Linked DNA regions of Notamacropus eugenii. The protein of the gene in region 3 purifies or fractionates together with the protein of the main gene of each other region. This does not show direct contact. Links are inferred from orthologs where the notes say so. Each region holds a gene or a part of one and is shown on either strand. Other genes may lie near its edges.

The links.
Region 1: the proteins of VSX1 (region 3) and USP12 purify together in Homo sapiens (affinity purification with mass spectrometry; 3 studies listed by BioGRID and IntAct, counting the BioPlex papers as one, with this or other methods). This does not show direct contact. The link is inferred for Notamacropus eugenii from reciprocal best matches to the Homo sapiens genes VSX1 and USP12.
Region 2: the proteins of VSX1 (region 3) and WDR20 purify together in Homo sapiens (affinity purification with mass spectrometry; 3 studies listed by BioGRID and IntAct, with this or other methods). This does not show direct contact. The link is inferred for Notamacropus eugenii from reciprocal best matches to the Homo sapiens genes VSX1 and WDR20.

What each region holds. Positions count from the first base shown.
Region 1 is NC_092876.1:195,091,755-195,099,645, forward strand, and holds the start of USP12 (ubiquitin carboxyl-terminal hydrolase 12), read right to left. Parts: upstream 3,558-7,891; 5' UTR 3,172-3,557; coding exon 3,124-3,171; intron 1-3,123. UniProt on the Homo sapiens protein: Deubiquitinating enzyme that plays various roles in the regulation of the immune response and inflammation.
Region 2 is NC_092872.1:351,725,885-351,734,313, reverse strand, and holds the start of WDR20 (WD repeat-containing protein 20), read left to right. Parts: upstream 1-5,126; 5' UTR 5,127-5,203; coding exon 5,204-5,452; intron 5,453-8,429. UniProt on the Homo sapiens protein: Regulator of deubiquitinating complexes. Activates deubiquitinating activity of complexes containing USP12. Anchors at the base of the ubiquitin-contacting loop of USP12 and remotely modulates the catalytic center of the enzyme.
Region 3 is NC_092872.1:602,073,154-602,080,880, forward strand, and holds the start of VSX1 (visual system homeobox 1), read right to left. Parts: upstream 3,382-7,727; 5' UTR 2,970-3,381; coding exon 2,522-2,969; intron 1-2,521. UniProt on the Homo sapiens protein: Binds to the 37-bp core of the locus control region (LCR) of the red/green visual pigment gene cluster. May regulate the activity of the LCR and the cone opsin genes at earlier stages of development. Dispensable in early retinal development.

The DNA.
Region 1 (7,891 bases), on a different chromosome or scaffold from region 3:
AGAGAAACAACTCCCTAGCTTCCCTAAATCCTATTAAAAACAGTAACATCTGAAAAAATAATGACTGAATTTAGTTACATGTTTTTCTTAATCCCATATACACTTTTTTTTAAAATAGCCATTTGATTATTTCTTGTAGCCCTTCTGGTTCTCTTCCTCAAAGGTTATTTCTTAGGACAGTATTGGAATGCTCTCTGGTTTAAATGTTTACCATGCTCTGATCTTTCATTCCTTAAAGATACCATAAAAATAAAAAGAAACCACCACAACTTCTGAGGGGAAAGGAATAAAAAAATTCCAAAACCTATGACCCTAAATTGGATCCATCTATCTTTCAAAGAGTAACTTTTTCCCACCAATATAATCTAGAACCGTAACTATTCCCATTATGATGCTACCTACTGTTATCCTTTTAGACATGCACCAAAAAAAGATCTTTAAAGCTTACGCTGATTATTTCCAATTCTACATATCCAGCCCTAGTATGTCAGCTCAATTTATGTCAGCTACTATATATTTCCATTGATATCACAAAATCAATATATCCAAAATAGAACTCATCTTTCCCTAAAACCCACTCCTTTTTCCAATTTCCAAATTCTGTTGAACAGACTACAATTCTTCTAGTCACTCAGGCTTGTTATCTCTATCACATTCAACAATTCTTCAGTACCACTCATGTCCAATTGGTTGAAAAATCTTTCTACCTCCACAAGATATTGTGGAACAATTTCCTTCTCTCTACTCACACAACTACCACAAGGCTCAGGCTTTTATGACCTTTCCCCAGGACTAACAACCATCTTAATTAGTTTCCCTGCATCTATTCCCTACCCTCTTCTCTCCATCCTCCAAACAACTACCAAACTCACGTTCCTTAAGCAATGGTCTGACCATCATTCCCCAGCCTAAGAAGCTGTGGAGGCATTTAGGAACAAACAGGAATTTCTCAGGTTTTTGAAGTTCTTCACAACCTAATTCCAACCTACCTCTCCAGACTAACTATACATTCCTTTCCTTTAGGTACTCACCAAAATGGTTTACTTTTATTTCTCCATAAAAAGCATAACATCTCCAGTCTCCATGCCCTTTTACATATGCTTAAAATTCCTAGTGTTCTTCGAAGCACAGCTTAAGTGCTTCCTTTATATGTAAGGCCTTTCATGATCTCCCCCAGCCCCAAAAACCAACCACCTCCAAATTATTCTATAAATATGCTATATTTGCTCATACATGTAGATGTTAATTCCCCATAGAAAGTAAGCTCCCTGAGGACATAGGTTGTTTTGTTTGTTTTTGTCTTTGTATCCCTATGGCCTATCCTAGTCCTGGCACACAGGAGGCACTTAATAAATGTTGACTCAAAAGTAAAATGTTTAAATCAAGGTTTTGAACAGACACTGGCACATTTCTGTTGTGAAGAATGAAGTTTTTTTTTTTAAGGTTATCACACAAATATCACGTCCCCCTCAGTCTGACAAAGATACTTTAAACTAAATAAATACAGATGGATTTGGTATATTCCAGTTAATAAGTTAAAAGATTACTGGTGGAGTTTTTAAAAGTAACAACATTCTGAGAGACCAAGCTACCACCTAAACACAGTCGTTGTCTCCTTTTGTTTGGAAAAGGGGAAAGACAGTTCATCGCAAGAATTCTTCAGCAAATTAAAAATAGAAAAGAAGGAAAAAATGTTCAGCAACATATTTAAACAAACCAGCACATCTTTTCAACCCACAACAGTGACAGGTTGGAGGGTCCTTCAAGAGGCATGAAGCAAAAAAAAAAAAAAATCTACCCAATCCTATACATCTTCTCCACAGAGAGCAACAGATTTCCTATCAACATATTTAGTGGACCCTTCTACAGTGACAAAATCTACCTACGTAGACTGTCTTCACAATAGGCAAAATTTCTCTATCAACCTCAGAATCCAAGAAGAACTTCTTAATTCCATCCCTCGCATTGAGAGACTTGTAGTATCTACACACATACATACACGCGCACACACACACGGAAGGGGAAACTTGCAGGCATGCCTTACATTACAGAGGGAAGACCCTCCAGTAACTCACACAAGCTAAGGGGGAAGCCTCCACGGTCTCAATCCTCACACGCACAAGCCTTAAAAATAACACACACTGAGAGGGGAGCCTCCAGTCTCATGCACACACAGGAAAAGGAGAAAGGCTCCAATACCTTGAGCGCCCGCACAAACACACAAACACACACACACACACACACACACACTCTCTCTCTCTCACTCATGCGCGTACACACTGATGAGGGATCTCCTCAATTGCTCTCACGCACGCCGAGGGGAAAGCCTCCAATCGCCGCCGAACTCTCACACACGCACGCAGAACAGACCTCCGATAACGCACTCACGCCCCTCCAAACTCTCACACTCGCACGAAGACTTCCAATTAACTCACACACACACACACGCACGCAAGCACACGCATTAGAGTGGAACCTCCTCAATCGCTCATTCCCACCAGCGGAGGGAATAAAAGTGCACTCGCCCCCCCCCCCCACACACACACACGCATGCACGCCGGAGGTAAAACCTCTAACAGCTTACAAACACACACGTCTCCAAACTCACACACTCGCTAAGGGGGAAGGCCTCCGATTTAACTCAGACACATAAACATACACACATACACACCCGAGGGGGGGAGTAGGTGTTCGGGAGAACCTCTAATTCTTCTCACACTCACATGGTAAAGGGAGAGCCTCCGATACCGCACACACACGCACGCACGCACGCACTCACTCGCGGAGAAGGGCTACTCCACTACCTTATACACTCCCGGGCGCACACGCACACACGCACACACCGGCCGGTCCAGCGAGGCCTCTAATGGCTCCCGCCGCCCCAGTGTCCAAGCCCTCCCCGCCCGCCGGTGCCTCCCCTAACGGCAGCCTGGGCTCCGAGGAGCCCGTAACCCGCCCTCACCCTCCTCCTCCTCCTCCTCCTCCTCTCGCAGCCCGGCCCCAGCCGCCCGTCTCATTCCGGCCCGGGGCCGCCCTAGGCCCCGCCGTGTCCGGGGCGGCCGCGGGCGGGGGAAGGTCAGGGGCTCCCCCGGGACACCCGCTCCCGACGCAGCTCCCACCTACCATGGTACAGATGGAAGCAAATTTGGAGACTGTCATTAGGATTTCCATCCGCCCAGCGCCATCTTCCACCCAATCACAGCGGCGGCGGCGCCGGGCTCCGAGCACCGGGCGCGGGGGAGGAGGAGCAGGGCAGCGGGGCCGCCGCCCTCAGTACCGGCGGCCCGACAGCCCCAGCCCGGCTGGCCGACCAAAGGACCGGCCGAGCGACCCACAGACCGACCCCAACAACCGTCTGAGCCCGGCGCTCCGGCACCCTGGCCAAGGCCCCCGCCCCCGGCTCCGGCTGCGGCTCCTCCCCGGCTCAGGGCGCAGCCGCTGCCTCCGGAGGCCGCTCCAGCCCGCCTAGCACCCCGCCCAGCGCGGCCTGGGGAGCAAGCTCCGCCGGGGCCCTAATGCCCGGCCTGTCCGGGCAACTCCGGCACCACCCACTCGCCGCACCCCGGGGACCGACAACCTGAGCGGCCAGCACCCCCTCTGCCTCCGCCTCCGCCCCGCTGCTAGAGGCCAGCAAGCTCCGCCCCCAGCCGCCAGCCCGCCGAGCCCGAGCGGCCGCACGCGCACGAGGCGCCGCCCTCTCCTCCTCCTTCTCCTTCCCCAGCCATGAGAACCCCGCCCCCAACGTGTAGCGGGGTAGGGCCTGAGGGGGCGGGGAGGCGCCGCCGGCACTTCCCTCCGGGTCCTAGTGCTCTTCCACCATTCTTCCGCCCTCCTTTCCCTTCGGGAATGGATGATCTGAGCCAGGAAGCCAGAGCAGCCGAGCTGGCCCGGACAGCGCGGAAGAGGGGGCTCGGAAGTTGGGTCTTTACCTGATTTATTCGGGCAGTTCAGACCTCTAGGTGGAATGATGCGTCTCCGCTCCCAACACATCCGTGCCCAAGGCTTCGGTTCTTGGGCAGGGAATGGGAAAAGCCCGCCTCCGCAGCTGTGACCCGGTGAGACCCACTCATTTGCAAAGTCTAATCTTTCTCTGAAAACGGCGCACTTGTGTCAAACGCGTCATGGGAACACAGTATTAAAGTTAGATGGCATCTTCCAACATCTCAAAGCCCAATCCCCACATTTTACAGGTGGGGAAACTGAGGCCCAGAAAGGGCAAATGATTTCCCCAAAGTACCCTACCAAAGAAAGACAGAAAAGTAAAGATTCGACATATACATGTTATATTTAGCTCGGTGATGTAAGAGGAAGGGTAAGGAATCTGCAAAAGACAGCCTGCCTGTTGAGTATGAATTTTGATGATGCTTATAAATATACTCTCTAAATATATTTTTCCAGACAACAAGAACTGCAAAGGGAAGAATAGGAAGAGACCCAACAAGGATAATATTACCCAGAGAGACAAAAGGAAGTTGATAAGACTGGCAAGTGGGAGAAAAAAATAGACAAGTTCTGTGAGAAGTACATCAAAGTGTAAACTAGTGGAACTGTTTCCTTCTTTCTATTTTTAAAGTGCATCATTTGAAAATCTGTCATTCATTTCAGGCAGTTCATCATTAATTCTTCTTGTTCCAGGAAATTAAGTTTAATTTCTTAAAATTATCCAGCAAATTCCTGTTTCTTTAAAAAAAAAAAAAAAAAAGTCTTTTATTTTTAAATACTTGCTTACAGAAGTTATTGAGGGTGGGAGGCAAGGCAAGATTCTGCCTGGTTCTCAGTGCCTGAGATTACATTCAACTGAACAATTATCCCTAAAATAACGGGCTGAAGATATTTAAAGTTTGCTAAGAAATCAATTTCCGTATTGACTTCCATTATAACATAGTAGATGAATTCCATTAGAAAAAAAATTGTCCATAGTGTGAATTGTAAATAGTAGGAAATCCATAAATAGTTATTGATTTGATTTATAACCTAACCTGGCTTCCTTTCTCTAGTGTCTTCCCTTAAACCATCTATACACTATTACCAGGTTAGTCTTTCTAATATACAGCCTGGATCACATTATCCTCCTATTCAGTGATTCCTTCAATGCCTATTGAATAAAATAAAAGTTCTTTGGCCTTAACCTTCAAAACCTTCTACTATCTAGCTCCATCCTCCTTTTCCAACCTTAACTCATATTTCATATTCTCTACTCTCAACACACATTTACAAGAACATTTGAGGAAGGAGAAATCAGCGACAATCAAGACAGGAGAGGCTTTCTGTAGTGGCTCATGAGTTGAGTCTGGAGAGAACCCAGGAAATCTAAGAGACAGAAGTGAGGAAATACATCACATAGCTGCAGGGCAGAAGATGCAATGCAAGTGCACTGAATGTCAGGTACTGATAGAACATAGAGTGAATGAAAGGGAATGAAGAAATAAGCCTAGATCTCCTTTCGTTCATTGCAAAAGTGGAATATTATGGGTGAAACGCTGAATATGGTATCAGACTTGATTAATATACTGATTTGTTTTACTGAACTGTTTTTCTCTTTTTTATTCTTTGTTATAATGGATAATTTTCTTGGAAGGAGAGATAGAAGTATATATTGGAAAATGCAGATGATATAAAATCAAAAGATTTTAATAACATTTTAATGGGGAAAAGACATGGAAAAGTAGCTATAAAATTAAAAAGATTTTCACAAACAAAATGAATGCAATTAAAATTAGAAGGTAAACAGTTAGCCACAAAAAAATCCTTGAAGCTAATTTCTCTGCTAAAGGTCTGATACCAAAATATGCAGGAAATTGATACAAACATACAGGAACAAGAACCATTTCCCAGTAGGCAAATGATCAAAGGCTATGCATAGACAGTTTTCAAAAGAAGAAATACACATTAAAGCAACTCTAAGATTCTACCATCAGATTAGCAAAGATGACAAAAAAAAATAGAAAAATGACCATTTTTGGAGGAGATGTGGGAAGATAAGCAGACTAATGCACTGTTGGTAGAGCTCTGAAATGATCCAACTATTCACAAGCAATTTGGAACTGTACCCAAAATGTCACCAACAGAAAGAATGTAGCTAGAGAAGAATGCCCAGGAAAGAATCTTGTAAATGAACCACAGTTAGGTTACAGGACATAAATGATGATCCAGGAGGAGAGACTGAGAAAGAGCAGTAAGGTAGGTAGAAGACAATCAGGATAGAGGTCTCACAAAATCAGTCAAGGAAAAGACATTTATTAGGTTTTGATTACTATGTGCCAGGTTGTGTGCTAAGCGCTGGGAACACAAGTGTAATGGAGGTTTGGCACATGCCCAGACCAATGAAAATTGTGTCACGTATGTGGGAAATTCTTGGGACTTGCTTCTGAGAGACAGAACTAGTGTGTGCCTAAACATTCTGAATTGGCCTACCGTGTAGTTGGGAGTAGCCTTTTTTATTAGCTATATAGTCAGAATTATCCGTGTCACTAAGGACAGTTGTCCTTTTCTAGCATTTGCATCTATGGGTGTATTCATTCATTCGCAGCACATGACACTACGAAGTGAGGAAGCGGGAGGGGGAGAGATGGGAGGCACGCCTGAGGTATGCCTCCCTCTCCTCCATTGGCCATAAAGCCCCAAGAAATGGGCTTGGAGTTTTGGTCTGTTTCATTTGTCCCTTTCACTGCTGAGTGCAGGAAGTGGAGTTCCAGACTCAGAAAATTGAGCTACAGGGATTTTGGAGCCCAGCACACCTGGCCAGATGTTGCAGCCAGTGCACCAATGGTTCAGGACAGACTTGAATTTGGTGGGATTAATGTTAGGTAAGGACTGAGACTTCCTAGAGACTGAGATGGTGTAAGAGGGATTAGGCTCTCAGGTGCTAGGGAAAATGTACTTATGTTTTCTCATACCTTTGAAGTAAATTTTCCTTTGTAAAAGCTAAACTAAGTGGCTCAATGGAACTGGGTACAAGTCATTTGCCCCTAAAATTGGGAAACACAATCGATGGAAGCCCTAGCCAATGCCGAGATGAGTCTAATCTCACCCCTTCAGAGAACCTTGGGTTATGGAGATGGGGCAAGGTAACAGACCTGCCCTTAAAACAGTAGAAGCCAGAGATACATTGTTACAAACCAAAAAACTAAAAACAGTCCCTGCCAGGTAGAAGTTTGAAGGGGGAAGCGGGAGGGATTGCTCCTGTTGCCCAAAAGAGGAATGTAGTGATACATAATAGTTGGAATATTACCAGATGTCAACAAAAATCTCTGCTTGCTTTTCATTGAAAATCAATCACAGGCAAATTTCTGGAGAACAGAAGGGAAAAGGATGAAGGGCCCAAGTTGAGGGGTCAGACTGAGCTAAGAGTAGAATGACCTTTTCCTCTGAGACTAGAACAAAAGAGGATAGAATGAGGAAAGATGGGGAAAAGTTCTGAAGCATATCATCTGTTTTTTCAATAGAGAAGTAGGAGAGTTAGAAGTAGGAGGGACACAGCTACTTATTTAGGTCTGGGACACTTCCGGTTGGGGTTATATTCCACAAACCTGGTGTATCTGTGGTTCTGACCCACAGTTGACCTAACTTCTGGCATTCAGCTTTAAAAAAAAAAAAAGCAATAACCTAAGGGTGGGACTTTAGACCTTCCTTATGTACATTATAGGTCCTACTTCCTTATGGGTCCTGTCTTCTTACCTTGTTTCCAGAATCTATATCATATGAGCATATAAGGTACAAACTAAAAATGTAACTTTATAGCAGTCCTGGAGCCTGGTTCCATGAAGAAATATTCTTATGTTCCTCTCGACCCAGATCAGGATTGGAAATTTTCTCAGAAGTGTGCTTTATCTGTGAGCTCTTAATTTTTGCCAAAAATGAGAGCAAGTGAAGAATAAATGATCTGTATTAA
Region 2 (8,429 bases), about 250 Mb from region 3:
TGTCTTTTTTTCCCTAAAACTAAAACATAGTAATAAAAAATTCCAGCTACTTGAGGAATCTGATTCAGAGGACCATTGGATTTTGGAGCTGGAATGAACTCTAGAGACCATTTATTCCAATTCCTTGATTTTGAAAATAGGATTTTACTGCATGTTTTTCTTGTAGTATCCAAAAGATGTTGGTCAAATACTGTGCAAATAATACAATTACTACAATTTTCACTGACACCTATTTATTTTGGATTATGTCAAGATGTTTATGCTTTGGGCATTTTAGAAATCAGATCACTTACCTTAGAATAATTTGCTCACAAAATCATGGAGAGAAGGCATTCATAGCATAACACTACCTTTGTACTGCAACTATGAACTGATATTCCATTTTTATTACAATTGTCATCATATTCATCTTGTTAAATTATAAGCCTCATGAGGGCAAAGGTCATTTATTTTTTACTTTTATATTTTCCCTGTAACTATAACTATGCTCTCCGTACGTAGGTAAGCTCTTCAAGGTCCACTGAATCTAATCACATAAGGCTGATTTTTTTTTTCCCAGGGGAATTCTACCTGAATTCATTTCCAATTGGCTTCACTGTGGAAATTTACTAATTCCAAAGCACAGCTGCAAAGAAATGCAGATATGAATTTATATATTAATGATTTCAAAAATCTTGACGTGATTTCATCAGCATAGGGAACTCTGGGAACAAACACCTTCTATAGGCAAACAACATGATATTGATTATACATGGGAAATTATGGAAAACATATTTCCATATTAGCCATGTTGCCAAAGAGAACACAGAAAAAAGCCAAGAAAAATAAATAGTATAAAAAAAGTATGTTTCATTCTGTATTCAGAGTTCGATCGTTCTCTCTTTGGAGGTTAATAATATTTTTCATTTTAGATTCTCTGGAATTGTCTTGATCGAAGTAGCTAAGTATTTTATAGTTCATCATGCTTACAACATTGCTATTACTGTGTATAATGTTCTCCTGGTTCTGCTCACTTCGCTTCAAACTAGCTTTTCAAAATAAATATTTTCCAACAACTATCTGCATTTTCTTCCATCCTGCACTATTTGAATCTTTCATAATTGCTCAGTAACAAAATCTAAGAAAACTAGCTAAAATAAAATGTTAGTAACACTACAAAATTTTCAAAAATTTAAATGACTAAAGGACTGTATCTGCAAATGCTAAAATGACTACTTATAATCAATCTTACTTATAAATAAAATAAGTACATAGCATTCTCTCTTGGGGAAAAAAAACCTATTCAACTGAAACTGCTCCATCTAAAGTTACCAGTGGTTTCTTAATTGACAAATCAGATGGCCTTTTCTTAACTGTCACCCTTCTGGATCTGTCTGTTACAAGTGACAATGCTGAGTATTTCCTACTCATACATACTTTTTCTTTTTTTGTGACACTACTCTCTTGGTTTTCCTCTTATCTGACTATTACTTTTCATTCTTTGCTGGATCATCATTCCCTCTGCCCTTAACTCTGGATATATTCCAAGACTAGTTCATTTCTCAATGTATAATCTCCGAGAACTTATCATCTCCCATTGGTTCAACTGTTATGGCACACAGATGATTTCTAGATACAGACTTGCACCATCAATAGGTTTTTTGCATATTTTTTCAAATGGCTTCTCAAATTCAATATATTCAAAATAGATGTCATTATCTCCTCCCTGCACCAAACCCACTCTTTCAGACTTCTCTATTTCTGCTGAATGTACCACCATACTTTCAGTCACAAGTATTTGCAACCTCTGAGTCATCTCTCCCTCCTCACTTTTCCTTGCCCCACATATCCAATGAGTGGCCAAGTCTTGTCAACCCTATCTCTACATCTTCCATTCATCTCCATCTTTCCACTCTTCAACCAGCCTAGTTCAGAGCCTCATCACCTCTCACTTAAGACTACTCCATTTTAAATTGGTCCCCTTGCTCCTTCACACAAGTACTAATGTGACATTACTGAAGTAAAGCATGACTATGGTACTTTCTTGCTTGATAAACTCCAGTGGCTTCCTACTGTCCCTAGGATAAAAAATAAATTGCTCTGTCTGGTGTTTAAAACACTTCACGACCTGCCTCCAATCTACCTTTCCAGCCTTATTATACATTAATATGTATATGAAGGGGAGCTCTGTATGCTCTATAATCCAGCCAAATTGGCTTTGCTTTGAGCTCTTTTGCCCAAATATAGCATTCCATCTTCTGACTGTACTTTTGCATAGGCTGTTCCACACTTGCATTCCTGAAATGCACTCCCTGTTTACCTCTTCCTCTTCGAATAGATCAGCTCAAATACCACCATAAGAGGCCTTTCCTAGTTCCCATGGTCACTGGTGGTTTTTCTTCACAATTGCCTGGTATTTATTTTCTACGTGTTATATGTATACCTCATCTCCCTTTTGAGAATGTAAGCTCCTAAAGAATAAGGACTGTTTTATGTCTTTGTATCCCCAGTATCTACCTCAGTCCCGGCAGAGTAGGCATTTAATAAATGCTTACTGATTGATTAGAGATGCTTGGCAGCTTATAGGCTTAGTTACCTGGGGTACTGAAAAGTTGAGTCTAAGTTACCAAGCATTTATTTAAAACCTACTACATGCCAAGTACTGTGGGAAGTGCTAGAAATTTGAATAAAGGCAAAAGACAGTCCCTGCTCTTAAGGAGCTCACAATCCAATGGGGGAGATATCATGGAAACATGTAGTAACTTGTCTAGGGTCACAAAGTCAACCTATATCAAAGCTGAACCCAGATCTTTAGGACTCCAAGGCCTGCTTTCTATTCACCCTTTGGTGTCTCTATAATAGAAATCACTTTTTACATTTTATTGACATTAGTGGTTATAGTTACATACATTCCTCTACAAATAAAAGTATCTCTCCTTACTAATGCTGAAGAACTATTAGACAACCCAAAGGTTTATTTAGAGGTTTATTTAATGCAAATGAATACTTATTAACCCAGGATAAAAATAAAGCCTTCAGGAATTGAGCATCCAGTTAATTTTTTTTTTATCTTACTCTAATGTGTTAATAAGTTAAATCAATTTTCAGGTAGAAGGCAAAACTGTCAACTGAATGATTCTCAACCAAATCCTTCAAAGGCAGTTCAACCAATGAAATTGGGAGGCAAGCTGAGTATGTTTCCCCTTAGATTCTTTGCTCTTGCTAGGTGACCTATCCGCATCCTTTTACGGCTATACATTTCTCTGATAAAATTTATGCCAGTTCTCAGTAGTAATATGTTACCCTACTTAGGACTACCAAGAGTGTCAACCTTTAGGTGACCTTCAACTTTAATTTTTCAGAATGATATTTCATGCCTCACAGCCAAAATAATATTTATGTTAAAAAGACTGGCTTTTGTTTTGGAGAGTAGTTTGGGGTGATTTAAAGAAAGCACTGAGTAATTTTCCAAATGCCAGCTCGTTCCCTTTAAGTAACTGAAGACAGACACCTATCACGGCCAATAAATTGCCTCCAGTCTACACATTCTTAATTGGTCCACACAATTCTTGACACAATTTTTGTGGTTCCCTTCCCATTTTACTTGGCCATTTCAAGATAAGAGTCACCTTTTCAATGTCTTTTCCTCAAATATAGTTTCCAAACACTTATGATGGTTCACAAACACCATATTCCAAGTATTTGACCAAGAGATGACAAGACAGTCATTTTCCTCTTTTCCAGAGATTCTTACCGTGGAACCCAAACCCATTTTTTCTTTAAAAAAATTGTTTTGATAAGTATATTTCAATACAACTGATTTCCTTTATTATCTTATGTATTTTATTATATGTACTAAAAAAAATTCTGAGGGGTCCATGGGTGTCATCAGGCTGCCCAAGGGGACTTCCCACAAAAACCCCCTGTTCTAGAGGAAGGCTTGAGAAAAGTAGATGGTGCTATGGTTAGAGCCCTGGATCTGGAGTCAGGAAAACCTCAGTGCAAACACTTGAAAGCTGTGTGACCTTAAGCAGGTCACAGTCTCTGTCTGTTTCAGTTTCCCCATCTGTAAAACCGGGATAAGGATGGCATCCACCTCCCAGGGTTGTGAGGACACAGTGAGGTAGTATATGTAAATCACTTGGCAAACCTTAAAGATCGCCATAAATGCCAGCTGTAATGATCAAACACTTCTGCTAATGACATTTAGAGGTTCAATGGCAATCAGCAAGCAACAAGCATTTATTAGGCGCCTTCTGTATGCCAAGCGTACAGAAAAGCAAGAAATAAAGAAGGTAAACAAGATCTGGGCTTCCGTCCCTCTCTGACCCCTACCATGGTGTGAGCCTGGCCAGGCCCTGTACACTGACAGTGCCACCCACAGGTGACTATTTAGTACGTGACAGAACCGGTGCAGACACGCACACAGGTAAGGGAGTGTCCTCACCAGGAATTCTTTACAGCCATAAAATCAGAGCAATGCCGGTCCAAAGGGGGGAAGGGTTTTAAGGGCTTGGCCCAAGACGTCTCTGAGGTGTCTCCCCGTAGAGAGCGTCTCACCTGACCCAGACTGACCAGGACCGGGTCGTCAAGGTCACCCAGGTGCTACCTAGTCCGGGAGCTGCATCCCGGGGCTCTCGACTCCAAATCCAGGGCGCTGGCCTCTCCAGACGGGGGCCGCCAAGGAGCCCACAAGGGCTCCCGCTCCCCTCCTGGACAGCCGAGGGCTCCGGCGGCCTTCCTCTCTCCTGGCCCCTCACGGCTTCCGTCCTCGCCGGCACGGGACCCCGCCTCCCTTCTCCCCCACCCCCCACCGGCCTGGCTCGCGCTGGGGCGACAGCGGCGGTTCCCACACCCTGGGACGGCCTACGACCGAGGACTCGGCCCCCCTGGGCCCCTCACCTAAGCCGGCGGCGGTCGCAACGGCTCTCGGGGACCCAGACGCGGGGACCGGAGTCCGCGAATGAGCCTCGGACTGCAAGTGGATATCTAGCTGGGCCCGGGAGGTGGTCGCGCCTGCGCAAACACGCTATAAACAAGCCCTCCCTCCTTCCCGTCGCCGCCGCACTCGGTTGGGAGAGACCGGAGTGGAAGGGTGAGAAGGAAGGCGGGGTGAAAGAGGAGGGGGAAGAAGGGGGGGGTGGCCTCTGGGAAAGCTAGGGACGGCGCCTGCGCAGTGGGTGTGATCCGGGCACTTGGGGCAGGATGAACGCTGCTTTCCAAGATGGCGACGGAGGGAGGAGGGAAGGAGATGAACGAGATTAAGACCCAGTTCACCACCCGAGAAGGTCTTTACAAGCTGCTACCGCATTCGGAATACAGTCGGCCCAACCGGGTGCCCTTCAACTCGCAGGGGTCCAACCCCGTGCGCGTCTCCTTCGTCAACCTTAACGACCAGTCTGGCAACGGCGACCGCCTCTGCTTCAATGTGGGCCGGGAGCTCTACTTCTATATCTACAAGGGGGTCCGCAAGGTACCGACCCGGGCGGCGCCAGGGCCCACCGGGGGTGGGGAAAGGGGCAGCGACATCGGCACGGGCGGCAGGGAAGGGGACGGGACCCGGTGACGTGACCCGACCCGGGGAGGAGGCGGCGGCCGCTTCACTTCAGAGTGGGCCGGTAACTCCACTTGAGAGTTCTCACCTCAGCGCTTGCACTGGGGGGAGGGAGGAGATAGAGGGGGGCGTGTAGCGTGGGGGGAGGGTCTGGGGGGCTGACTCGGGGACCAGTCCAGGGAGGCCACCCCCCCACCCCCCACCCCAGGTGTCTGCCTCTCGTCACCCCACCCTCCTCCGCCTTGAGTCTGTCAGGTTGGGTGACAAGCATGGAGCCGGGCCTGAGGGGCGAGGGGGCGGGGGTGGCGACTGCCCCAGCCCGACTGCGAGCTGGGGGGCTCCCCCGTGAGAGGACGGGGACGAGGGGTGGTAATGAGGTGGGACCGGCGCTGGGGAGCTGCAGGCTTGTGCCCGTAGTCCGAAAGGAGCCGCCTGGGCGCGGGTGGGGGATCGCGGGGGGCCGATCCACCTGCTGCCGCACTTCCTAGGAGTCCGTCGGTGGCCCGGCTGTTCACACTTTGTGTCTCCGAGCGCTCAGGGCAGGGCAGCTGTCGCTGTCTCCAGCCATAGAACGCTTGGGAGTGAATCTTTTCCTAGGAAAGATCATGAAAGATTGTCTCTTGTCTGTTTCTAGTATGTGGATAGGCTAAGTTTTAAAGTGAGGGACTGAGGCATCTTACTTTTCCATTATTTTAACGGGTGATATGGGTTCAGCATGAGAGCATTCGAACTAATCTTGTCAGAGAAGACACCTAAATCAGGAAGGTCTAAAAAGCGGCTTCATGTGGTCTCCTTTTCATGACAAGCAACAGTAATTCTTTCGACCGTGCAATCGTCTTCAAGCATGTTCTCCCTTTAAAAAAAAATTTGTTAGAGCCTTCATCTGTGTTATCATATACTTGTTAAGCTTTTGAAATAGAACTTTGAATTTACTATTAGCAGAGAGAAAATAATGGACTCTGTAATCTGTGCAAGATTATGAACAGACAAATATGATTTGCAGAAATGCTAATTTTTATTAGTACCTTAAAATACGCACATAATGAATAAGAAAGAATACAGACTTTCTGCAAATAAATACATTATGTACAAGTACAGTATTTTCATTTCAGTATTGCAGGGTCATGTGGTGGGTATGCTGAGTGTGTTTCTAAAGCAGTTATCTGAAATGTTTTTGCTAGTGTTTCCGATTATGGTCAGAATGTGATGGAAAATATTGAAAAGAAGCCACTTAATTTTTCTTTTCCTTTTAAAGTTGGAAAGTAAGAAAACATAACCTTGGTCCCGTTCCTAGCTTTGTCACTGACTTGTTGGGTGACCTTTGCCAAGTTGGTTCACCTAGAACTCCTCTACTTTAAAAAAAGATTGATTGCTGTGAATATGTTGTAAATAATGAATTAATAAGTGTACACTATTGTGAAGTCTTCAGAGACAATAAATGGAAAACAGTTACAAATATAAAGAATAATGGTCAAACAGGAAACTGCCATCTTGATTTTGATCCTAGAACTTTAAGGGTCAGTTTTCTGGTGCAGTTAGTTTCAAAGTTTTCATTGCTAAAATGTATTTTTTAGACACCGAACACCAAAAAAACAACCTCCAAACCAACCTTAACTTTCACCTAAACTGATAACCAGTTGAACCATCTTGTTACTCTGTTACCTTTTTTACTCTGCAAGTTTTCTTGTTGAAGCTTTCTCATAGGAAACTTGATCTGGGCAGTCTTGGTTTACATCATAAAACAGAGCCCATGCTCAAGAATTATCTTTGCAAAGGAAGTTTTTATTAAGGTAGATAATAACCTTTCTTACAAAATGGTAATACTAAAGTAAAGAGAGATTTGCAAAACTGCTCTGAAAAGTTCTTCTAAATGACTTTAAAAAATAGGAGTTGCGTAGGGTAGTTGGAGGGATTATATACATGTAGAGCTTTATCAGTGGAAGGAAAGAGGGGAGGTGAGAGGGAAAAAGTGAACCTTATTCCCATCACATTTGGCTTAAGGAGAGAATAACACACATACTCAATTTGCTATGAAACTATCTTACACTACAGGAAAGTAGGGTAGAAGGGAGGGTAAATGGGAGGAGAGAGGAATTAGAAGTAAATACTTTTGAGGAGGGATAGGGTCAGAAGAGGAGAATAGAATAAATGGGGGGCAGGAGAGGTTGGAGGGAAATATAATTAGTTTTGCCTAACATAACTTTTATGGAAGTCTTTTGCATAACTGCACATGTATAACATATTGAATTGCTTGCCTTTTCAGTGGGGATAGGTGGGGAGGGAGGAAGGGAGGGAAGTTGGAACTGAAAGTTTTAAGAATGAATGTTGAGAATTGTTTTTGCAGCAACTGAGAAATAAGAAATACAGGTAATGGGGTATAGATATCTATCTTGCCCTATAAGAAAAGAGAGAAGATGGGGAAAAGGGAAAGGAGGGGTGTGATAAAAGGGAGGGCAGATTGGAGGAAGGGGTAATCAGAATGCATGGTGGGTGGGGGAGGGGAGAGATGGGGAGAAAGTTTGGAACTCAAAATCTTGTGGAAATGAATGTTGAAAACTAAAAATAAATAAATTATAATGAAAAAAATAGGAGTTGCATTTACAGAAAACAGAAACAGGTGGTGGCACAGTAAATAGAGTCAGGAAGATCTGAGTTCAAATAAGGCCTCAGACTCTTACTAGCTGTGTGATCTTGGAGAAGTCACTTAACTTCAGCTAGATTTGCCTCAGTTTCCTGAACTGTAAAAATGGGGTTGATGATACCACCTACCTTTCAGAGTTGTGAGAATCTAATGAGATTTTTTAAAAATAAAGAAAGAACTTAGCTCCATGCCTGACACAGTCAGCTCTATGTAAATGCTTATTCCCTTCCCCAAATCCCTCCCTTGTCTACATAA
Region 3 (7,727 bases):
GTCCCCATCGCTGGGGCACATTGCTCTTTTTGGCCCTGATCTTCTCTTTCCAGCTCTCATCTGTGTCCATGTATGTCTCTAGTATGAATTGCCCACAATCCTGAAAAGGCAACACTGATTGTTGAAAAAAAAAAAACTCTTCTGTACTATTCCACCCAAGGGCATGATTGAATAATGACCAGAATAACTAACATTTATATGTTTCTTTAAGGTTTGCAATGCACTTTATAAATATTATCTCATTTGAGCTAAGCTTATTATCACATCTGCAAACACAAGTGAGTAGATGCTATTATTCTCATTTTTCAGATTAAAAAAAAAGAAAACTCTGAGGCAGACAACAGTAAGGTGACTTGTCCAGAGTCACACAACAAGTAATGTCCAAGGCTGAATTTGAACTCAGGTCTTCAGCTTTATCCACCGTGCCACCTAGCTGACCTACCACCAGCTTTGTCTGGCTATCAACTTAAAGATGAGCGATGGAAGAAAGCAGAGGGAGTCAGGCAGCACGGCATAATGGAAAGAACGTTGGATTTGGAATCGGAAGACTTGATATGGTTTAGTGAAAGAACCTGAGATGCAGTCACAGAATTTCAGTATCTCAGAGGTGGACAGGACCTCAGAGGTCATTGAGAGCAACTTTTACTTGAATAAGAACCCCTCGTACCCAAGTGGCTGCCCAGTCTTTGCTTCATCAAGGGAATCAGAGAACCTGTGCTCAAATCCTTGTTCTGCTCCTTATTTGCAAGTTATCTTCCTTCTCTAGGCTTTAATTTTCTCAACTATAAAATGAAAGCTCCAGACTAGATATTCCTTTCTGCTCCTAAATCCTATGAAGAAAAAGCTTGCTCCTCCCCATCCTATACCCATCTAGGCATGAACTTTTCATTCCAGGTTTCTACTATTTTCTAAGTGAGAAAACAGTAAAATCACTGAAATAGCTGACATCTTATCAGATAAACCTTATATATAGAAAGATCTACAAAGGGAGCAATCTACTGAGTGTCTTTCCTGGGGAGATTATGAGATCCCCTAAATGGAACTTTTAGACTCTCCTAAAAGCACTAGTCAAATAGTGAATGTTAAGGGAGTCCAAGGACAGCAATGGATGAAATAGATGTAAATAAGACACCAAAAGAAAGGAAAGTCATGACTAAGTAAAGACAAAATCCTATCACAGTGGTGGTGGTTATTTTTTTTAATCTCCCTTGGGATATAGGAATTCATCAATGTAAAAACTCCCCCCACTAATACAAATCAGGAACTGTCTATGTAGTCACAGAGCTGCCTTAGGCATGGAGAAGTTACATGGATGACTTGTCCAAATTCAAGTGGCTAATAATATGTGCCGCGGCAGAATTTGAACTTGGGTCTTCATGATTACGAAGCTATCATAGACTAGAAGAATGAACTCAAAAGATGAAGGAATGAGGTATGGCGGAACTGCCACATGTAAGGGAAAGAAGCAACACTCAATGAAACCAGGGATTTGTCAGAAGTACCAGTGTAATTAAGCAAGTAGCTGTATTAATAGCAAGAGTACAAGGAATGCCAGGGCTGCTTCCTCTTCCTGACTGAAAAGTCAGGACTTTCAGAAGAGAGAGTGCTTGCCAGCAGAGGACTGCCAAAAGAGGGCAGAGGGAGAAGATCTTCTGACTATGATAGTCTCAAAGAGCCCAGCCCACAAGCCCACTCATTTCCCTAACCCTGACTAACATCAGTTTCCTCAGGTCTCATGACCCTACTTGGGAGACACACAGTCTTGTTCAGAAAAAAAAAACACCAAAGCCCAGGGCTGGCCTAGATTGAGGATTTCTGTACCAGGAGACTGAAGCTAAAATGAGAAACAGCTAAAATTTGCATCTCTGCAGGATCTTGACCTCAGACTCTAGGGGAGCAGAGAGGAAAAGTTCAAAAATACATTTTCACCTCGGGGAGCGGCTCCAGCCCCAGAAGAGGTTAGCCTCTAGGCAGAGGTTAGAGAAAAGAATTTATGTGGCAAGATCATGAGGGAGAATAGCAGAACCTAAGAAAGGAGAGAGAAAAGGTTGCAGGATTTAAATAGCACTAAGTGGGTCTCTTTGGTTTAGGTTTGTGAGAAATATTAAATGATCTAAGCATCTGTTTCAGATTAAAAAACAAAACAAAACGAGATTAAGTGCCATGTCCAAGGTCACATAAAGAGTGGAGTCAGAATTTGCACTCAGGTCCTCTGAATACAAATCCAGAGTTCCAGGCATTGCAACACCGCCCCTAGATAGAACTGGCCATTTGCCCTCTCCTCCTGAATACTCTACCCTTTCTCTGGATCTGGAGAGAAGAGAAACAGAGAAATTTGCCAAAAACTGAAACTCAGGAAGATGTATCTTTTGTCTCAAAGTGAGGGAAGTGAAAGGGGTGAGGGGCAATAGTAAAAGTTGTGGAAAAGGGTTGGTTTTTTTTTTTTTTTAACCCTTTAAGCCCTAGGCTGAGAGAAGTCTAGAGTGAACGAATGGTCCCGCGGGAGGCATGCACAAGTTACCCGAAACGCTTTCCTTGGGCTTTTCAGAGCCCAGCAGGTATCGCTGGTGATGCTCGTGACGCTGGTGATGGGGGTCCGGTCCCCGGGGCTGCAGGAAGGGGATGTCCGTGAGCAGCAAACAGGGGGTCCCACCAGCCGGGGGCTGCTGCGCTGCGAAGCCACAGAAGAAGCCCAGACCTAAGGGCAAGGAGCCCCCGGGTAGAGAGGTCCCCCCAACTCCAGCTCCAGTCCCAGGACCTGGCCCCAGCCCAGTACCAGAGGGGACCTGGCATCCTGAGCCAGCCCCAGGACCACTGGGAGGTTGCAACTCTGCCTCCAAGCCCAGCAAGTCATTGATGGCAAAGCCTTTGGATCGTAAACTGAGAGAAGCCTTCTCATGTCCCGGGCCAATGGGCACCAGCGCCTTGCCCTTGGTTTTGCCATCTGAGCTCGCATCTCGGCCGGTCATGGCTTCGCCCTTCCCTCCCTGGCTTGTCTGTTTGGGGTAGCTTCTGCAGGATCCCGAATACAGATGGAAGAAGAGCGAAGTCGGTCCAGAGCTTTTTATCTGCGTCCTGGGGCCAGTGAAGCAGGGCAGGGGGTGGGGAAGGAGCTTGGCCTCCAATCAGGTCGGGGAAGGGTCCTGTCGCTTTAGGGTCGTCCCGTGCTTTCAATTCCAGAAGATTAATTACTCCCAATTTCCCCACAATCTGATAATACACCTTCCCTTCTCTAGCTCAACTCCCAGCTGCTTCCCCCCTCAGCTCCCAGCTACTACCTCCCCTTCGGAAGTCCCATCCCCCTTTCCCAGGGTCACTTTTTCCTTACTTTCCTCCTCCTTCCCCTTACACGTCCCCCTGCCCAGCTGTCATCTCCTTTCTGGTCCCTTCAATCTGTCCGGGCCAAGCCCGCCCCTCCTCCTACAAACACTGCAGGCTTGGGGGTGGGAAGTGGGGGTGGGGTGGAGTTTCACTTCATTTTACCTCTTCGAAAGAGTAAACCTCAGCTCTACAAACAGTTGAATGTCCACCCCCTCCTCTCCCTGGGACCAATACACCTTGCGTTCTCTTCTGAGACTTCACCTCGAGTTTACAAGGCTTCAGTGCCAAGTCTTTGGTCAGGCTATTCTGATCGAAAACCGTTAACGCCAGATTTACGAGGCTCACTAGCTCTCTCTCCGCCCCCCCTAAAAAATCCCCCAAAATATCCCTAGGTGTTTCCGCCGAGATGTTCATCTGTCTGTCTCCCCGAAGGGAAGGAGGTGGTGGGTGGGTTTCTCTCATTTAGCTCTCTCGCTCCCCAAGCGAAACTGGGTCTTGCTGGTTTGCACAACTCTCCCTTGTCCCCAAGGCTCAAGGCTGAGATTTTTTTTTTTTCTTACTTCAGTTAGCTGGGTCCTTCTCAGTCAATTCTTCCCTAGACCCCAGAAGCTAACGAAAAGGGAAACAGGGTACAATGGGGTTAAACTGAGGGATGGGGAACCTGAGAGTTCCCCGCATCCCAGCTCCTAACACCCTCAGGCTCTCTGGGTTGAAAACCCAACATCTCGCCTTCTTTTGGTTCTTTTTTCGAGAGGGACGCTCTCCATTAGTGCCTGCATTTTCATGGGCCTTTCGAAAACTCCCATGGATAGAGGATTTTGGAGAGAGAAAAATTCGAAAACTTCAAACTTTTTTTAAAAATTCCTACACGTTATCTGCACACGTGCCACTTCATAGGAAAACATGATTTTCAAATAAGCCTAATCATTCTGTCCTCCAGTATTTGCCATAGCCTAATTGGTCTTGGCAAATCTCTCCCCAGTCTAATACAACCTCTCCAAACAGCTGCCAAAATGTTTTCCTAAAGCTTAGTTCTGACCATGTCATCATCCCTTTACTCAATAAACTCCAGTGGCTCCTTATTATCTTTTGACTGGAATAAAAACAAATGCCAATTGAGAATTTAGACCTCTTTACAATCTTTTCCTTCAAACCTTCACAGTCTTCTCCTCTCCTCAACCATACTGCTTAACTTGCCATTTTTCACATAAAGATCTCTCTCCCCCCCTTCCTTCTTTCCTCCCTCCCTTCCTTCTTTCCCACAGCTCTATTTTGTATCTCTCTTTCCCAAACCCTCGAAGCCTTCCCTCCAAAGAACTGAACAGAATATAATGAAATGGAATTTTATGTAAGAAAATGTGGACAAGTTCAAGTTTCTTTCCTCTGTTGACTTCTTAGCTTTCCTCTCACTGACCTACCCACTCTCCCCACCATCCCATCTCCCTAACAGGAGGCACCTAGTAGTTGCACCCACCCTCAGCTCTGCAACAAAAGAAGAGAGGAGAGAATGTGTGGTGTAACCTTATCCATGTCCAAAAGGGACTCCAGTCTTATTCAGTCCATCAGATCCCAGCTCTTGCACCTGGATTGAAATTCCCTGCTTCATCTGTTTATGCAAACGATTTACAAACAGCTTACATCGACTGCTTTAAAGTAGATCTCTCTTTCCCCCACCTCCCTTTTTTTTTTTTGGTACTTTTCTGCTAAACATGCAGATTAAACAAGGGCCTTCTGATAAAGATAATTACAAGAGGACTACGTATTAACTTTACATTATTAAAGAAAGACCCAAATCTCCCTTCGCAAGCTGTTCCTGGGATTAGAAAAACAATAACTTTCATTTGGGATAATTGTAATTTGAATTGCTTGGGTTTAGGATTGGCTTTTGACGATTACGTTTGGCCGGAAAGGGAGGCAGGAATTTCTTTTGAGAAGCTTTACTTTGCTGTATTCAGGTGTAAGAGATGCAGTCAGGTCCCTGCAATCAGCTCTTAGAGGAATGTCAGGAACCTAATTATATGATTTTTCCCACCCAAATTTTGGGTCACTTTCAGCAGCAGATAAACTATGACCAAATCATTATTTAAAACCACGACTCGTCCGATGAGCTATGTGACAGGGCGCTTCAGTTTAAGCAGGAGAGTGTGCATGCTCCCGTGCCAGTTCTGGGTGAAGGGTAAACCTCATCAGGTTTAGGATGGTTTAGATATGGACTTCAAGAAATGCCCCAGAAATATTACCTGCGGAAACAAAACTCACTGCCCGGGCAACGTGGGTTGGGGCATCTCAAGACTCGTAGGTGGGGACATAAAGATTTGGTTTTCCTTCCTTTAGGGCATCTAAATCATCAAAGAGAACAGACAGAGACTGCAGATGTCCAGAAGTATGGGTCCCATTCCCTGGACTTGGAGTCGAATCGCTAGCCAATTCGTTGTTGACTTTAAGCTAGTCACGTCCCTTTCCTGGGCTTCAGTTCCTCCGAGCCTAAAATGAGGACGATGGATTAGGTGCTTTCTGTGGTCCCTTCGAGTTCTCATTGTCTGTGCTTTTGTTTTACGTCGGTTATCACAGATGCAGCTCATCCCAGCCACTCCCTGAGGGGAGGAGGGAAAGAGAGAGACAGACACAGAGAAAGGGACCCAGACACTCAGAGAGAATGAATGAGGATTCTGTATTCATACCATCTTTTCCTATCTTTTCTCACCCACGCTCCCCACCCCTGACGAGGTAGCGCTTCTCCCAGCGGGCTCCCTGATAGCCCGGCAGAGAAAGCCGACCACATTCACTTTTCAAGTTGCGCTGGAGTCCAGTCCCAGTGAGAGGACCGCCCGAGGAGACTTTCACTGTTAAACTAAGAGCAAATCTCTCACAGAAATTGGAAGTGCTAATCCGGCCACCAGCCCCCAACAAATTTCCCATTCGGCCGATGTTAGTGGCTAAAACCCTAATTTTTTGACATCGCCCAGAATCAGCTTAATTTTAGCAGTTTACGCGGAGGCTCAGCTGCCGCCAAGGATGATGAAGCTTTTAACTATGCATATGGTGGAGTCATTTGGAAAGTTTGGGATAAAGCGTTTATAATTGCTCGTAATCAGTTTAGGGAAACATAAAAGCCGAAAACGGGGAGAAAGCCTGCTACAGGGGAATAGGAATAAGAGTTTAAATCCCCCTGTATTCTAAATAGTTGCCTGGGCTACTTCCTGGCCACGTGCGCGGATTGGGGATCCGCGCTGGGCACCCCGAGCAGAGGGAAGACAGGGTGGGGGCTAGTTGATGCCTTCTTCAGAAACTAGGATCACTCCTTCGTTCGAAACACAACACATGCACCTCCACACTCTGAGAGTGCTTGTACACTTTTTATTTGATTTTGTTTTATTTTATTTTGGAATAAATCTGTTAAGGGATATCTTGATCTATGCTCATCAGATAGGATTATATGGGATTAAACTAATCAGTAAATGTTTCTCCGCTCATTATTTTCCCGGGAAGATTTTCAACCCCATTCTCCAACGCCAACGATTATTAATCCCCTAAAGAATATGGCATTTTAAAAATCACTTTTCGCTCTAATTTCTTAGTCCAGGCCCACCCCCGGAGCAGACCTCCGGGAAGAGAATGAACCTTCCCGGTGAGTGTTGCTGAAAGCCAACATTCTAGGCTGGCCATCTACTCCAGAGCAGCAGGCTCCATAGGATCCACAGATGTCCTAAATCAAATCCCATGGTTCCTTACACCTTCTGGGTCCCTCAGTCGCTAAATGCACCGCACTCACTGGGCCTTCAATCATATACAGAATCATAGCTGTTGGGACTCCCAGTGGGAAGTCTCCTAAACCTATATGGGAACAAAACTCCACTCATCAGAGCATCATCGGATTTTCAGGGCCTGAAGAATGTCAGTGAAGCAGTATCTACTATTTTTCAAGGTACCTCATTCTACTGGAGAAGAGTTTTAATGGTTAAGAATTTTTCCTTCCATCAAACCCAAATTTTTCTTTTTGCTCGCTGTTCCTGCTTCTGCCCAAGAGGCCAAATAGAACAAATCGAACCATCTTTCAAATAACTGTGGATCAAATACATTTCACTACTGTCCCTCCAAATCTTTCTGTTTCTGAAACAATGACTTCTTTAAAAAATAAGGGTATAACTTAAGGAATCCCACATAACTTTCTAGCTACTTGTCATTGTGGGTATGCAGGTGATGATATATGTGGAGGGAGAAGTGGATGAGGAGAAGTCAGTGGGAGAACAAGGAGGAGAAGAAAAATTTCCCATAGTTATGTTACATTGGTTACAAAATTAGGTTCAACTTCCAGGTACCACCACCAGCACTGTGAAGTCAAAATTCCCTCAATTTCTTTCTTGGAGTCCTAGAAGGCTATTGAAAGAGTAGTAAATCAGTACTTA